Linked DNA regions of Drosophila melanogaster. Changing the gene in region 1 together with any one later gene gives a genetic interaction. Each region holds a gene or a part of one and is shown in the gene's direction. Other genes may lie near its edges.

Region 1 (8,588 bases):
AACGAGTTTTGGAACTCTGGTTCCTCTGCTTCTTCTTTCCCTCGGCGAATATTTTCTTCGTCATTCAAGAGCCAACAACAACAACACAAAAACATTAAAAAATAAACAAAAAGCGTTGAACAAAATTTCCAACTTTTATTGTTAATTTCTTTGAGCGCAGCTTTTTTAAGCTGCTGCGCGGGCGTCGACGCCGACAGCGCTACACTGCAAGAAAATATTAGTAATAGATCGGTCAAAACACTTTTCCAAATCTTACGTTTGCTCTCAAGGCATTGTAATGTGCCAATTGAGTTAGAAATCAGTTAGAAATTATATGCATATTAGCAAAAATGTAGTTTCATAAATGAATTTAAATTCTACATTCCAGTAAAAATATGCTTACTGACTTTAGTTAATCATAACACATATGTATTTCTCACCGTGTAACAGCATTATTGTTGTTCTTGTTTTTCGTGTAATTATGATCTTGTGCTGACTTTTTTATATGTACATGCATGTGTACATATATTTGCTCAAATCAAGTAATCAGTTATATTTAAGCATCAAAATCAAGTTTTGGCAATTGCTAATGCAAGGCGGTGGTAAAAAACGACCAAAGATTTATACGAATGTGTGCCGTGAACATTGACGATTTTATTAGAAAGTAGCAATTGGCAAAACAAACAGATATGCAAAATGGCAAAATGCAAAAAAAAAGAGTGGATCCATAAATTGAAAGTTTAATCTTTTCTTGACACCTTTCTACTTCCCCAGTCGGGAATTTTAATTGCCTCGCAAAAAATAATGACAGGTGTCTGGTGAATTATCTTCTTCAGCGCTAATAGCATTTATTTTATTTGTAGTAAAATTACCTAAATTAGCTTTTTATGTACATTTACAAATTTTAAGTTCTGCATCTGCATGGTGAGATCATTTCAGTTGCCGTGTAAGCTTCTTAAAAAAAACTGTGTATATATGAATGTATATATTCTTTCATATATGTATATGTATATAAATTTATAATCACATAAATATTTATGTACTTATGTAAATATTACATAAATGTATGTACATAAGTATGTTCCTCACTGCTTTGTAATCTCTAAAAATTGTAGAACCTACATTGTAAATTATGTATGACCTTGACATTTCATAATTTTTTAGAAACATTTCCACTTGGTTTATAAGAATTCGTTAAAAATTATGTTATGTATGTACATACACACATTTCTATGTACATATGTACATAGTACATCATGTGGCTTAAATCTCGTATTATGCCATGCTCTCATTATGCTTATTATAACTCTTATACATACAAAAAGTATTATAAAAGTGTTTCCCACAAATTCCACGTTTTATTTGACGATCTAAATACATAGCTTTTTACATAGAACTCCATGTGCCATATTTCCTTATGTGCTAAGCAAAAAAAAAACACATTTTCTTTGCCTTTTCATTTAGCGCGACTTCCTTTTGCCACAACCCCTTCTTCTTCTTTCTTTTCTTCCCCTCAATTCCCGCGCAAAACGCTTTTTTCCAACGAGACAGTTGCAAAAAGCAATCAACTGTATCGTGGAGTGTCCCCATCTCGCTCGCACTCACTTGTTCTAGCGCACGAACGATCTTCGGTTTTTCGAATGCAGCAGAAAGAACAACAAAAGCAAAAACTTCGTGCTCACACACACACGCAAAGCCTATTTCTTTTTTCGACTTTTATTCGAACTTTTTTGCAGCGATTTTTCAGTAACAAACGGCAACTCTCAGGAATAAAATCGTCGTCGCTCCGCTCGTTAAATTCTCGTTGCTTTTCCACCCACATAAAAAATCAGGATAAATTGTTAGTAGTCTAAAAAACAGTGCGGATTGCATAAATTCAAGCGGAGCACCGATTGGAAAAACACCCACGGAAAAAACTATGTGATGTTAAATACGTTTTTGTGTCGAGTGCATAATTTGTTGTAATTAAAGTTCAACTGCAAATGCAAAAAGACGAAATATATAATAATTTATAGGTGTTTGTGAGTGTTTGCGCCCCCTCTCCTGTGCAACGTGTGGGAAAGAGAGAGAGGGAGTGAGAAAGAGGGAACGTGACCGAGTTGCCATGAAAACTCCAATGGAAATTCAGGTGAGCGATTGTCAATCGACGTGATGTTATGCGGGGACCATCATCTCTATACGTTCACCTTTCATATGCACACTGTAGCCGTCGAAAAGATCTGTAGAATTTATGATTTTGCCACAGAAACGACACTCCTCGCATCAATTAGTATTGGTTAGAACATTTGGCATGCGTGTAGAATTTCGCACAGAAATGTTAATTTTCCAGCTGAAAACCCGATGAAACCGTTAAAAATTAAGGTACATATTTAGGTACACATAATTTGTACACCGAAATTAGAGAGAAAACGCGCGGCGATGAAGTCATGCTGGAAGCCAAAAATAAATCAACGCCGATCATAAAAACGTTTGGAGAGTGCACAAAATATAATTTGCGCTTTTTAGTGGGAAATGCATTGCACACACAAGCCGAGACCATCTTTCATCTCCCTCGCACACCCTTAAACAACTGCAACGAGAGATGGAGAGAGGTGTCGGAGTGGGGGAGAGAGAGAGCTTGCTCGGCAACGGTAATTTTACCATTTCGAACATTATGGCTTCGCTTTGCTGCGAAAAAAACAAGCAAAGCTAAAGCAACAACAAAATCTCGCCCCATGGTGGAAAACAAAAACAATACCAATGCGAATGATATTTTCGAACTCCGCCAAATATGTGCAAGCAGAGTTGTCAGCCTCGTTCGTTGTCACTTACAGTATATGAGGTTCTATTGAACAACTTTATTAATTAGTACGTACGACTCACATCTCACTGTCTATGCCAAATACTATTTACCACGTAGAGACCCTAAACAATTTTTGTGATATTCATATTCAATACTTTCTCCAATTATATTTAACATTGTCTTGAGATTAGCAAAAACGTTATCGTGTTTTTATAGACAGGCTTTTCAAGTAGTGTAGTTAGTAAATTTGACGTCCGTTGGAAACGTATTTCCTTCTTCCTTGATGTGGAACTTAAATTAGGTGGCAACCAGATAATGAAAAGCGTGTCCTCCTTCTGCATCATCCTAATTTGTCGATCTTTTGTCGTGAATTGGCAACTCTGTGCGCCAAGCATACAAAAAGCACACGTCTGAAGAGGGGTGGCAAACAGGCGACGTCAACTTATTTTTCGAACTCACACTCTCATTCGCACTCACACTCTTCGGGTTTCGCTTCGGCTTCGTTTCCAACTCTCTCGGCGCTCTTCGGGGTCTCTGCTTATGGGAACCTTTCGTTTTTTCGAGCACCAGCGGAAAGTCGCGTCAGTCGTCAGTTTTTCTTCAGTGGCTTCGCGCGTCCGCAATTTTCAGTGTGTGGTGCGTTGTTGCTGCTGCCTACTCTTTTCTTTCTGCTCTCCACGGCAGCGGGAAAGGAAAATACATACACATGCATACAGGGCCCCATCACATACAGTAAAAATAAATTCAACTTTATTGCTTTTCCCCCCGTCGCGTTATCGTGTGTGTGTGTATTAGTATTATATATATTTTACTATATATATACATATATGGATTGGAAAAGCAACACCAAAATTTGATATGTGCAAAGTTTATTGACGACTACGTGCTGCCTGTGATTCTATTTCGGTGTGTATATAAAATTGATCAATAATGTTTTAAAGTACCGCTTAATAATATACAATAAGAACTTGCATTTGAACTGTACCTGGCAATTATCTGCCTGAGATTGTGTGTGTTTTTGCATATCGAATCGATACTTCCAGTGGTGTTTCTATCGATTTTTCCCTATGCTCACTTCACGGGAGAAAGCTTTTCACCAATGTACGAAAAGAGACAGGCACAGACAGAGCAGGAGAGGGAGAGCTTTCCCACAAAATGCAACGCTGAAGTAAATGACGGGCGGTTTTCATTAATTTTCACACACGCACACACTGCCAGTGGCTCACTTTCCATGCAAATGAGGTCAAGTGTTGCAGTGGGAAATGTTTTCTACAAGTACACGTGTATGTGTGCGCGAGTAGGAAAGTTATATAAGCTTTTCATTACCGATTGCGACGAGGGAAAGCTTGATAAAAAAAACTATGATTAGTAAACACGAAGATTGCCAAGAGCGAGTTCAATTAATTGCTTTCTATTATAAACTCCTACAAAAAAGCACGTTTTTCATTTCGATAGATTCCCAAAGTCTTGGTGGCCGCCATCTTGGTTTTTCCCCCACACATAAAATATTTTGTTCAATGCTAGGCTCTCTCGCTCTTTTGGCTCCCCTTTTCTTTCTCTCCCGCTCATTTTGTCATACTCCCTCGTCAGTTTTTATGTTTGTTCACGAAAAACAAAAACAACAAGCGTGAAATTTTCTCTCTGCACTTTTCACACACACTTAGAAAAGTGGGAGAACCAGACGGCTCAGCATGAGGCAAGGAGGATGATGAGGAAGGGAGAGAGAGAACAGTCGCCACATATTTTTGTTTCCACTTTGTGCTACACTTCTGCTACGCCGCTTTTGTTGTTTTCTTTTCGACACGTTTACACATTTCCATTTTTCATATTTTCGTGTCGCCTAATCTTTTTTATGGGACTGCGCGACGTTGCTAAATTTCACTTGTGACTTTTGCAAAAGTTTCATTTGTTTACATTCTACGCACATGTGCAGAATAATAACAATAATAAATGAGATATAAAAAAGCTTTTGCGCAACAAGTGTAGAAAAGCAAAAACTGTATTTTTCTCTTTGGTTTCTTGCCTTAATTCTTTGTTTACAATTTAAACTTGTACACTTCTTTCAAGTCATCAACTTTTTTTCCTTTTAAAACACCATGACCTTGCATCGAATTTCTGACCTACACACGCACGTGCAAAAAAAGTTTAATATGTGTCGCACTTTTCTATTATCCACTATTCTTAATGTTCTTGTCTTACAGTAAACAGCAAAAATATAGAAAAAATAAAACGAAGGCGGGGAAAAATAATGAGCGGCCGTTATCGCAACCTGCTCTTTGGCCGACTTTTATTTTTGTTAGTTTTGATTTACTTATTCGCTTTGTGGCCATTAGCAAAAAAGTTCATTGAACTTTTCTGCGTTTTATTTTACGGTTTATTGTTGATTATTTTCGGTGGCTCACTTTTTTCACTTTCACTTGAACTGGCCAGTGTATTTAACAAGTTTTTGTGTGGCTATATCCAAATTATAAAACTAATATGGCACTTTAAAGGAGGTGTTTCTAGTAGTTGGTTTCATTAGGAAAGTCTTAAATTGAATTTGATTTAATGTTGATAGTTAAGTGTCATAGGTCATAAATAAATTGAAGTATTAGCTTGTAACATAACTGTTCGATAACCATTGAGAAATGGATCTGCTTTTTATCGTTAACTTGCATAACTGGCAGTTGTAGATAATGCCCTTCAAAGAAATCTCAAGAAAAACCAACAAAGCCCTAGAGATCTAGAAAAGAAGAATAATCGACATCATCGGCGGGACAGATCTCCATCGGTGCCCATGATAGATATGGATAGCCCCACGAAAACCTAAAGCATCGACTTCCTCCGCTCCCACGCAAATGTACAATACAATACTCTGAGATACATTTACAGATACAGATACATTCGCGCATAACAAGCCCTTAACATTCACTTTAAATAGCTTTTCGAGAAAACAAGTTTTTGTGGTTGACGTTTTTTTTTTTTTTTTTTTTTTTTTTTGTTGTTGTTATACATTTTTCGCTGCTTTAATGGCAAAACGACATTTTCTGCGGCCGAACAGAAGCGAGCGAAGCGGAAAAGTAAAAAAAAGAAAGAAGCGTGGAAATGGAAAATGATATGTTTCAACTCTCAGATGCAAATTATCGTTATTCGTAAATATTATGTATAAAGGTTGCAAGAACTTTGATCACACGATCTTTTAGTAATACACTATTTCTGATAGATATGCTATATGATGAACAATGCGTTTAGGAACCAACATGTGACTTACATGGAAAACAACTGCGATCCAGCTGGCAAAAAACGTAGCTTCTTTCTATGAAATTATAATAACTAATCGTATTTTGCGTGGTTTACTACCTACCAGCTCGACTCAGAATGGCTGGCACACTTGACTTGGCTTTTCTCAATCTTTGCTTGCAAGCCTGTTTGCTGCTAAATGTGCAATGTGAAGAACAAGAAAGGCGACGGGCTAAAAGGGTGTAAAAATAAATAAAATGAGCGACAGACGACGGACGCCTACATACGTGGGTTTTCAGAGGTGTTTTTTCCCCCAGTTTTGCGTTTTTTGGGCTTCGAGCCGCCAGAGTTTCAATGGTGTGTGTGTGTGTGTTTCTGCGTTGCTATTCAGCAACATTTTCAGCTGCCAGAAATTAAATTATTGAAAGTCAGTGCGAGAAGTCGAGTCGTCGTCGAGTTTATTTTTACGTCGTAAATATACAAATTTTATGTCTCACAAACGCAGCACACACATGTCTATGTGGCGTGTGTGTATGCGTTCGAGCAGAAAAAAGATTCCACTTTATGCAAATCTTGTGGGGGAAGTTTTATATTTGTTCTTGGCCTCCACTCACTCTTTTTTTCCTCGCTCTCTCCCGCTTCCTCCTCCCCCCTCTTTCTTATTCTTAAGTTATTTCCATTTTAAATTTGTTTTTCTGGCGGCTGCCCAGTGTGTGTATGTGTGTGTGCGCGTGTGTGTGTGTTGGCGATTTTTCTGGCAGCGATGTGAAATGAAATGAAATGAGTTTCTTAAACTGGTTTTTCTGCCAAGTGATCGGATCGGATCTCGGATCTCTAAACCAACAAACAAAACTCGACTTGCCAGCCGAGAACGGGGCGACCACCCGCTCCTCCGTTTCGTTTTTTCGAAATGGCACAGTTCTTGTACATTCTGTCGAACCGGTTTTTCTTTTGACTTTTGCACACACAAACACCCATACACAGACACACAACTTACACACATACTACCCAGAACAGAAGTCTTGAAACCAGCCCCATTATGGTTTCCAAGTTCAGAGCGCTCTCTCCATCTCTCTGGCGCTGGCCAAGAATTTTCATTACTCTAAAACAGTGGAGGGCTCGGGCTCCAGACTTTGGCGGCACTTCCTGTGTGCCCAAACGCAAGGGACGACAGTTGTGATCCAACATCTGCCGGCCGGCAGGACGCGGCAAAATGGAGGGAGGAAGGGAGACTATGACTGCATATACACAAGCGAACATAATCAGGAGAGGGGGGATCGGCTTAGTTTAGGGGTTGATTGCAACCCCAAAAAAGGCCGGGACCGGCCTACAGGACCCTCTCCCTCATCCTTCTCCTAACTTAGCGTAAACCGGTCTGCTTCGGTTCTCCCCGTGGCTCACCTTTTGCCGTCTGGCGCGTGCTTAGAAAAAGGGGACCGCTATCGCCCGACATCCTTTATATTATTATTATCCCGCTCCCCATCCCACCCGACATCGCCGCATCCCATTTTCATTTCCATCTGGCACTCGAAAAGTCTGTTGGCATGGAGGCAAGAATTAATGAAGCCTAGCTGGGCCAAGCCAAATGGCTGAATTCTAAAACAAGTTTACGACAAAAGGATGGAAATGCTAATCTCTGGTACCCATTCCAATCTTAATTCATTGTAAACCGATCTGCGCTTACATAGAAACTTACGCTACATGCTGCAGAAAAAAAACCCATTAATCTGACATCTGACATTGATCGCCGATAATTAAAGCAGCAACCCAATCAAATTGCGAAAAATATAACATTAGTTTTTCGTACTACAGCGGTTGCAATATTAAAACAAGTTGAGTTTTTCGCTAACAACGTTTCGTAAAATGAAAATTTTGAACGTAGTTTGATAGTAGATCTCAACACAAGGAAATATGAAGCAACTAGCTTATAAAAAGTGTGAAACGAACTATTCGTTCTATTTGCGATCCAGCAGTTGCTAAAACAAATATTAGATGAGTTTTTCGCTAACAACGTTTCGTAATGTAACAAATTTTGAACGTAGTTTGATAGTAGATCTCATCACAAGATAAATTCTTTTTTAAATTCTTTTTTAAATGATTTAAAATGTTATTTGTTAGAAGCAGCAGCTCGCCCATAAAACGTGTGGAAAATGCATTAAATATTCTCCAAACAATCCTGGCGGTTGCTAAACCAAAGTCCTGTTGAGTTTTTCGCTAACAACGTTTCGTAAAGTGCAAATTTTGAACGTAGTTTGATAGTAGATCTCAGCACAGAATTTCTCGTATATTGAAAGTTTTTAGAGCATTGAAAATTATAATTATTATAATATGTTTTAAACAAGAATCGTGATCTCAAGCTCTTGTTCAACATATTAGCGATATGCAACAGCAGTTACACAGTGTCTTGGACTTATTTTTGCCAGACATTTTCGAATGCAGTTGCCAGATGAAAACCCAGTTGAGATTTTCGCTAACAATGCTCCGTAAAACACAGTTTTGGACATCGTTTGATAGTAGACCTCAACACAGTCTCTCAGTCTCTTGTCTTGGTCTCCAATCACCAAGTGCTCATTACTCCACCCCCATTTATAGTACATCATTTGTGGGT
Region 2 (8,660 bases), on another chromosome or scaffold:
TTACCTACTTCATAATAGATGAGTCTGGGATTCGTTTTGGACGCCAGAGAGAAGGCGTGGCACTCGGCTTCTAACGCCTCTTCCTTTGGCAGGTGAGTTTCCAGCGATTCGGAGGAGGAAAAAAGATTTTTCCATCCACGGAAACTACTCGTGTTGCATTTTCCACTTTGGGTGGATGATTTTATAACAGTTTGCTTGTCATAAAATTGTCAATATTGGCGAAGTTATCAGTTATGTGATAAGCTTTGTTGTTATGAGCTATTTGTTATAATTTTACAAAAATTACTTAGAGATGCGCTTATTAATAACTTAAGCAAATAGCACGCCTTGGCTTTCTTAATCTTCTAATATCTTTCTACAATTTGAACTAAAGTACTTATTTATTATCCCTTTTCCACCATTTTCTCGGTGCCCGGCAGTTCCTGGGTGAAATTTATGTAATTTATATGGGCACTTGACTGTCTAAATTGCCTGCAGAGCTGAGCCCCACCCGGCAGAAAACCGCCTCAATAGCAGGACAATCTCCAGTCTGCCATCCATTTACCCCCCCCCAACCCCACTTCACGTTTTTTCCAGCCCTCCGCCTTCCACACCCACTGCCCCTTTTGGAGCACGCTTTGCTGCCACTTTTTATATCATCTACTTAGCCCTAATGGCAAATAATTAATTTCCAGCTTCCGCGAAGCCAGTTCTAGCCTGCCACGCCCCCTGGCCAACGCCCACGTAGTAAATGGCCGCATGTAACTGCAGTTTCGCCCCCCCCCCAAAAAAACCCCCTCGCTGGCCCCTGAAACGACCGTTTTCAATTTACAAATTGCTTATTTTCCGAAAACCAAATTGCGAGTGCCTCGGACTTTTGCCAGGAGTGAAAACCCGTAACTGTAACCGGATCCGGATACGGATCCTGATCCGGGACCAGGACGAGGCCAGAAGCAGCAGTTAATGCATTTTACGTGCGGCCAGTTGGGTGGCGAGAAATAAGGGGGGTGTTGGGAAGTGCTGGGTGGGGAAAATGCGCTGCGGCGAAGGCATCTCAATTACGTTTATAAATTTTCCAAGCCAAAATGGCGCAGCCTCCGAAAATGAATAGCCGCCCGAAAGGGACAGCGCGAAATGGGGAAGCGAGACGGCAGGTGGCAAAGGTTTTGGGGCAATTAATAACCATTTCAGACCTCATCGAGATGCTGAAGCATATGAACCAGAAATATGAAAGGTAACTTAAAGTTGAGAAAAGATCTTATTAAAACCCCTTTTTAATATTGCCTACGCCATTGATCTCATAAGCATCAGTCTACCCAGGAAACTCATGAAATATCAACGGAAGTCCCCTTTCCGCTTGTCGAAATTTTATTAACTTCTTTTGGACCAAATTGCATTGCGGTTTATTTGGAGGCCACTTCCCATTGGCAAAAACCAACCCTTACCACTTTTTTATCGGCATTCCGATGCCTTCATCACCTGACTCCTGAAAACGATGCCCGTTTATTTATGATGCGACATTTCAACTCGCATTCGTAGGCTTGAAAAGAGCCTCGAAAATTTATGGGCGCCATCAAAAATTGTTTCAGGCACAAAGGAAAATAGTGCACTTCAAGTTATATAATATTAAAAATATTTAAAACAACTCCAAAAATATTAAAATGTTTTCGAGCTTTAAAATAACTTGCATGTTAAGTTTAAAGGTAAATATTAAATTATAAATTCGCTTAAGTATTAAACACAAATCTGTCAGTGTATATTTATTATTGGGTGAGTATGGGGCTGGAGCCACGCCCAGCGCCTAAGCAAATGGCCAAGACTCCATCGTTGGCCTTTCGGTTTTATGGCCTACGCATCATTTGGCTAAAAGAGGCAAAACGGCTTCCACGGAATCCATTTGGAGGCATGTCTTCGACTACAATTTGGGAATACAACAATTTGGAAGAAAAGGCGGAGTGGCATGGTAATCGTTCTATGAAATGCCTAAATAAAATAAATGGCTAAACAGAATTAGAGTGAAAGGAGCTGCGGCCCAAAAGTATGCGGAATGGCGTTTATTCAATGTTATTTATTGGGAAATGCGGTATCGCATTTAGGATATTTTATTTATCATACGGCTGTACATAAGTGGTGAATTTCTTATTTACGACGAACATTATTTGGCTCTTTTTTTATTGCAAGAAATAAGTGTTTTTTCGAAGAAAGGGTAACAATTTTGTTAAACAATTTAGCTTTTAGTATATTATATATTATAAGATCACATCTTTCCACTCTAAAAGCCAACGAAATTAATTAAAAGCGCAATTAATTTGTTTGACAGCTGAAGAAAACAGACGCCAAGCTTTTGGCTTATTTACAATAAGGGGGTAGAATGGGGGGCCAAAATGGCTGAAAGGGGTGAGGGGGCGGCAGGGGAGGCTGGCTTTTTTCTCCTTTCGTTTGTCTGATTCTGTCGGAATAATAAAAGTAATTTAATTTTAATGAAATTGTTAATACGAAAACAATTTCATTTTGCAAAAAGTTTTGCCTGGGCCAAAAGATGGGCAGAGACGGGGGTGGTGGGGTGTGGAGAGAGAGTGAAATTGCTCGTGACAATGAGTGAACGGGAAAACAACAAACAAACAAACAGGAGTGCGAGAGAAAAGAGAAGGCCAAACGAGCAAACACTACGGTACAGAAAATACAAAAATGCCGTCGCAAAGCCAAACAAAAAAGGCACTGCACAAGCGAAAGAGACAGAAGGAGGGAAAGAGAAAGATAGGGAATGCGAGAAATGAAATGCTGATGCGAAGATTTAATAAATGAAATTGGTGTGTGATTAAAAACACAAAAACCAAACGAAATCCATCTAATCAACTTTTGCTGCCGCCTCACTTTTCCTCTACTTTCTCCTCCTCCTTTTCCACCGACCCGTTTCTCCTTTTGTCCTTTCTCCCAGCTGCTATCTCTTTCCTTCCTTCCCGGCGACGTCGACTGCGAGAGCGGCAGAGGGGTGAAAAGAGGGTTGCGAAGTTGGGGAGGGGTGGCACAATACTGGGGGTGGGTGGTCTTAAGTTTGCAACGCCTTCTTGAGGGAAATTCCCGACCAAAGATCCTTGGATTTTTCTAACCTTACGAAATTGTACATAAATAACGGTTAAAATTAATAAATAATTTTTACAATATGTTACTTATTCCACTTAAACATTTATGTTTAATTAAAAAATTTTGAATTTTCAACATGTTTCAAAAAATGTCTTTTTATGTACCATAAAAGATCGGAAAATTCATTCTACCTGTTATATACTTCTTAACAAATCTAGTATACCCTCTTACGAAACGAGTTAAATAGTAAAATTTCCCAGTTTCTTATTCCCCTTTTGGGATTTTCTCTCTTCTCAGGCTCCACCCCTACATATGAGCAGAAAATGGCTCTGAAATGCCTATACATACACATATTTACATACATGACGGCCAGTTGCTATGACATTCTACATCTTACATGCATAATAAATCTGAAATGTAACGTACAACGTAAGTTAGAAATCACTAAAATGAAAAATGGCGCTGTATTAGTTCCAAAAACAAACACCATTTGTCGTAAACGGATAGGCGTTGTGTGCTGTTAGTTCCAAAAGTATACGAGAAAAGTTGAATAAATCATGGCGCAGAGTTAATCCTGCATTGGCAATTTATAATACTAGATTAATTTAAGACCGATCTTGACCAACTTCAATGATGATTTCATTCGGAATGATTATTAAAATCAAACTGATACATCATCTCTGAGAGAACTAGCAGGGAAAATATTATAAATTCTACTACTCTACTAAATCTACTCCTTTCACATAGTATATTTACGTTAACAAACAAAGTACACTTTTATTAATATGAATATTTTGTTATTTGATTAAAGTAATTAATTTGTAGAAAGGATTGAGCATAATATTGTTTTAAATTTTTTTTTTCTATCTCAACGCTAATTCATAACATTGCATCAGAAGAGAAAATAATTTTTTAAAAATTAAGAGAAAAAATGCTAATGTGCTCTTTATTTCATAATATTCGAGTAGTGGTAGCGAGTAAGTTGTTTGTTTCATTTTCAGTCTGTTGGAATTTCTCGTGCTGTGCGGTTGTCATTTGTCGCGATCGTGCTTGGAATTGACTTTAGCGGCATTTTTATAAGAATCAATGCAACGCGTGGTTTTCCTGCAAATTTTGGCACAAGTTCTTAATAAAAGAAAAAAAATATATATATATATGGCATTGGCGTTTATCAGAATAATCCACATCGCCATTTAGTTCGGTGGTTTTTCATCGACTTGTGCTTGTGTGTGCGTGCCACTTGGTTAGTTGTTGCTGCTTTCGCTAGTCGTACGATCTAGCATTTGTGCTCAATTCTGAATTCTAAAATAAAACAACAACTAGCGTTTTCCATATGTGCAACTATTTGCCTTAAAAAGCAATTAAAGCAAAGGCAGTGGTTAAAGTTGACTAAATATTAGTAAAACGTGAATTGTGAATGCAGTTTTGGTGCATTAAGCGAAGAGAGTGGAAGAGAGAGCGGCTCTCTTTTAGTTTGTGATTTCAAAGTGGAAAATTATTAATTCAAATGCAGTCTGCAATTAATTTCATGGAAAATCACTTGTTAGCTGCTCGTTCGCTCTGTCTCTTTCGCACTTCAGCTGACGAATTTTCCGTGCTAAACTTGACACTTTTCAGTCCATCATTCCAACTAATTCTTTGACTGCAGTTTTGCGTCGCATTTCCTTTCTACGCCGATCTGCCTCTTTGCCTTTCTTTTCTCTGATATATTTCAACAGAAGCTCAGTTGTTGTTGTAACTACTCCTCCTCCTTTTTGTTACTTGCTGCTTGTTTTTGTTGCTCGTCATGTACAATTTTTTCCAATTTGTGCGCCTTTTCATATTTTATTCTGCCGCGCTGTTTTTCTGTTTTCTGTTTCTGTCTCGCCGCCGCTACTATTTTTAGCAACAAGTATGGCTGATGTTGTTGTTGCTGCCGCTCAAGTTAACTACGCTACGCTGGCAGAAACAACAACAAGTCAAACTATGCGGAGCGAGAGAGAGTGAACTGAAAACAAAAAGAGTGAGCGATAAAATCCGCGAGAAAGAGTACAGTGGGGCTCGACTTAAATTATCATATTAAGCCAGATCACAAGTATTAACAAATCGAATGTTCTTAAATCCAATAAGCGTTAATCAGCAATGTTGATCAAAAGTTTTAAAATTATTTAATCGATATCAGTGAACTATTGAATACTATTGGTAAAAGCTCAGTCTTGTTTGCATCTTCAAGTGGGGGTCCCACTGTATTCGACTCAGGTGATAACAATAACAGCGACGAGTGAGAGAACTCTCTCTCACTCTCTCTCCTTCATTTCATTTCCCAATCTTTCGTGTTCGTGTTCTGTGGCTAATAGCATTTAAATTTTAATGCCCAATTTCATAGAAACGCAACGCAAGTGGAAAGACTCGAGAAAACAAAAGTGCAGGCCGTCTAAATTGATGGCGAAGTTTCGTGTGCCGCCTGCATTTCATTTATAAATATATTTTCGGCCTTAATTCTGTGCTTCCTGTGAATTAACGAGGAAACTGAAGAGTGCGCGAGCGAGACAGCCGATCACAAATCAACAAGTGGAAACGAAGAAACTTTCTTCGCAAAAGCCGGCTGATCGCAACAACAAGAAGAAAAGAGAGCGATTCTCTGCGACTGGAACCATAACATTTACATCGACCCTGGAATTTCTTCACTTTTCGTCCAACATGTAAGCTCCATTTTAATATGCAATTACTGTTCGCTGTTGTCGAACAGCAACTTATTTATTCATACTTATTGTTTATTTATGGATTTATGCCGCCTACGAACTTTGTGATTGCACAATCGTTCGGCCTTTGAATAATTTTTTTTTTCGCCAAGGCGCCCTTTTGTCTATATACCCATCTCTTTCGACTGCTCCAGTGCTGTCTTTTTCTGGTCCGTGCTTTGAATAAACAATTAAGGCTCAGGGTCTTTAAGCCCTTTTCTCCGCCTTAGAGCCGAAAGTGATTGTTGTAATTTATAATTTATATTTCCTTTCTTAATAAATAAATAAATAGTCAAGTTTATGTTTGAGTTTTATGATTTATATTTTAAGTTATTTCAACTGCAACACCAGCACCACGACCTACTCACAGCAAAAAACGTACAAGAAGGAAAGAAGGAATAAAAAGAGTGGTATTCTCTTACAATATGTTTTATGGCATAAAAGGTGTGGCCATTCATATCAAATATAAAGTAGTGTTGTTTAACGTTATTTTTGTAGGTTGAATAGTATATTCCAACACGCCCCCTCAAAAATAACGTCTATAATTAAAAACATAACAATAATATTCATTAGTAACTATCAAATGTGGGTGGTGTGCATTCTGGGAAGTGTTAACTGATCCAGCATTTGCTGCGAGGATACGGGGAAAACCCAGAAAAACCCGATCAGATCATTGTAACAAAATATGTTTACAGGAATTTAAATTTGAAAAATATATATAAAAATTTCATTCAGCATTCGATTGGTCGTCTTGCAGCAAACCCAATTTGTCTCGTAACTCCACAAATCTCGCAGCAGGCAACGGTTTTGTAAATATGTCAGCCAGTTGATTCTCTGTAGGAATATACTCAAGACAAATCACATTATTCTGAACTTGCTCTCTGGCAAAATGATATTTAATATCAATATGTTTAGCTCGTTTATGACATGAGGGATTGTTTGCTATGCTAATACAGCCTTGATTGTCTTCGTAAATTTTAATGGGGTTTTCTAGTTTAATGTTAATACTAGTTAATAAAAATTTAAGCCATAGAGCTTCTCTCACGGCTTCAAATAGGGCCATATACTCAGCTTCAGTTGATGAGGCTGCTACTGAGTTCTGTCTCTTTGTATTCCAACAAATGAGATTAAAATCAAACATTTTGAATAAATACCCTGTTGTACTTTTTCTATCAATTTCACTACCAGCCCAATCAGAATCCACATAACCAATAATTTTATTTTCAAATGCCAAGTTCTTTTTAAAAATCAATTTCATATCGATAGTGCCCTTCAAATATCTAAGAACTCTTTTTAAGTTCTGCCATAATTCGGAGTTATTTTTGCTACTATATCTGCTCAAGATATTTACTGCAGTAGTTAAATCTGGGCGTGTACAAAGCATTATGTACATTAAACATCCTATGAGGCTACGGCATGGGGTATTGCAGTCTTCATCTGAATTAAGTAATTCATAATTTATTTTACTAGGTAAAGGAGTACTAACTGCATTACAATTTTCCATGTTAAATTTACTTAAAATTTTTTTAACATATGCAGATTGGCTTAAATAGATTTTATCTTCCTGCATCTCTATCCTAATTCCAATAAAATGTTTTATTTCATTTAGGTCAGTCATCCTAAACTTTTCCATTAAATACCTTTTGAAGTTATTCATTCTTGTCATATCTCCTGTAGCTATAACCACATCATCTACATATAATAATACATATATGTTTTCATTGATGTTACCTTTGTCTAAAATATATATACAGCGATCAACTGAAGAGTTTACAAACTCACACTCTTTCAATGCTTGCTCAAATACTTCAAACCAGCATCTAGCCGCTTGCTTGAGTCCGTAAATTGCCTTATTCAATTTACACACATTGTCACTATTACACGATATACCTTGAGGAAGTCTCATATAAATTTCCTCTTTTAACGTGCCATTTAAGAAAGCTGTTTTTACATCCATTTGATGGACTTTCAAGTTATACTGTATTACTAATGACAATATAAATCGGAAACTTGAAATTCTAGCTACAGGAGCAAATGTCTCTTCATAGTCTATTTGGTATTTTTGAGTGAATCCTCGTGCAACCAATCTAGCTTTGTATCTAATTGGATTTCCAAGTTCATTATATTTAACAGAAAATACCCATCTGCTATCTACAATATTTTTGTTTTCAGGCCTTTTTGTAATTGTCCAAGTATTATTAATTTTATGAGCATTTAACTCTGTATTGATGGCTTCTTCCCAAGAAGATTTATCATCCCTATATTGAATTTCATCAAATGAATTTGGGACATCGTTAAATATAGTGTGAGCATTTAGAACAACTTTATTTAGACTATTATCCTCTTCATTATAGGATATCTGAGGCTTAGTCTTTAATCTCTCACTTCTTCTATTAATAATTTCTATGCCATCATTTTTAGTTGGATTATCAATTCCAATTTCTTTTAAGTGCTCTGCTGTTTCACTTTCCCTACTCTCATTCGGGTTGCCTGATCCCTTACTTTCATTCAGGTGATCATCTCGCTTTCTTTTCTTACTCTCATTCAGAAAATATTTATTACTTTCCTTACTATCTTTCAGGAATTGTATGTTGTCGCATTCCTTACTCTCATTCGGGAATTCTGTTTGTATTATTTTCCTACTGTCATTCGGAAAATTTTTATTTTCACTTTCCTTACTATCTTTCAGGAATTGTATGTTGTCGCATTCCTTACTCTCATTCGGGAACTCTGTTTGTATTATTTTCCTACTGTCATTCGGAAAATTTTTATTTTCACTTTCCTTACTATCTTTCAGGAACACTGTTTCAAATTTAACAGCTCTAGAATTAACCATATTGGTTTCATCGACAACAACATCTCTTGCGACAATAAATT

What was found.
Region 2: of lola (region 1) and for, changing one suppresses a phenotype caused by changing the other (phenotypic suppression), as found in Drosophila melanogaster (one study listed by BioGRID).

What each region holds. Positions count from the first base shown.
Region 1 is NT_033778.4:10,536,424-10,545,011, reverse strand, and holds the start of lola (longitudinals lacking), read left to right. Parts: upstream 1-1,720; 5' UTR 1,721-2,107; intron 2,108-3,016; exon of another isoform or gene 3,017-3,171; intron 3,172-3,238; exon of another isoform or gene 3,239-3,667; intron 3,668-7,741; exon of another isoform or gene 7,742-7,877; intron 7,878-7,891; exon of another isoform or gene 7,892-8,062; intron 8,063-8,106; exon of another isoform or gene 8,107-8,267; intron 8,268-8,351; exon of another isoform or gene 8,352-8,517; intron 8,518-8,588. UniProt on the Drosophila melanogaster protein: Putative transcription factor required for axon growth and guidance in the central and peripheral nervous systems. Repels CNS axons away from the midline by promoting the expression of the midline repellent sli and its receptor robo.
Region 2 is NT_033779.5:3,652,354-3,661,013, reverse strand, and holds the start of for (foraging), read left to right. Parts: upstream 1-4,060; 5' UTR 4,061-4,292; exon of another isoform or gene 4,293-4,306; intron 4,307-5,428; 5' UTR 5,429-5,744; intron 5,745-8,660.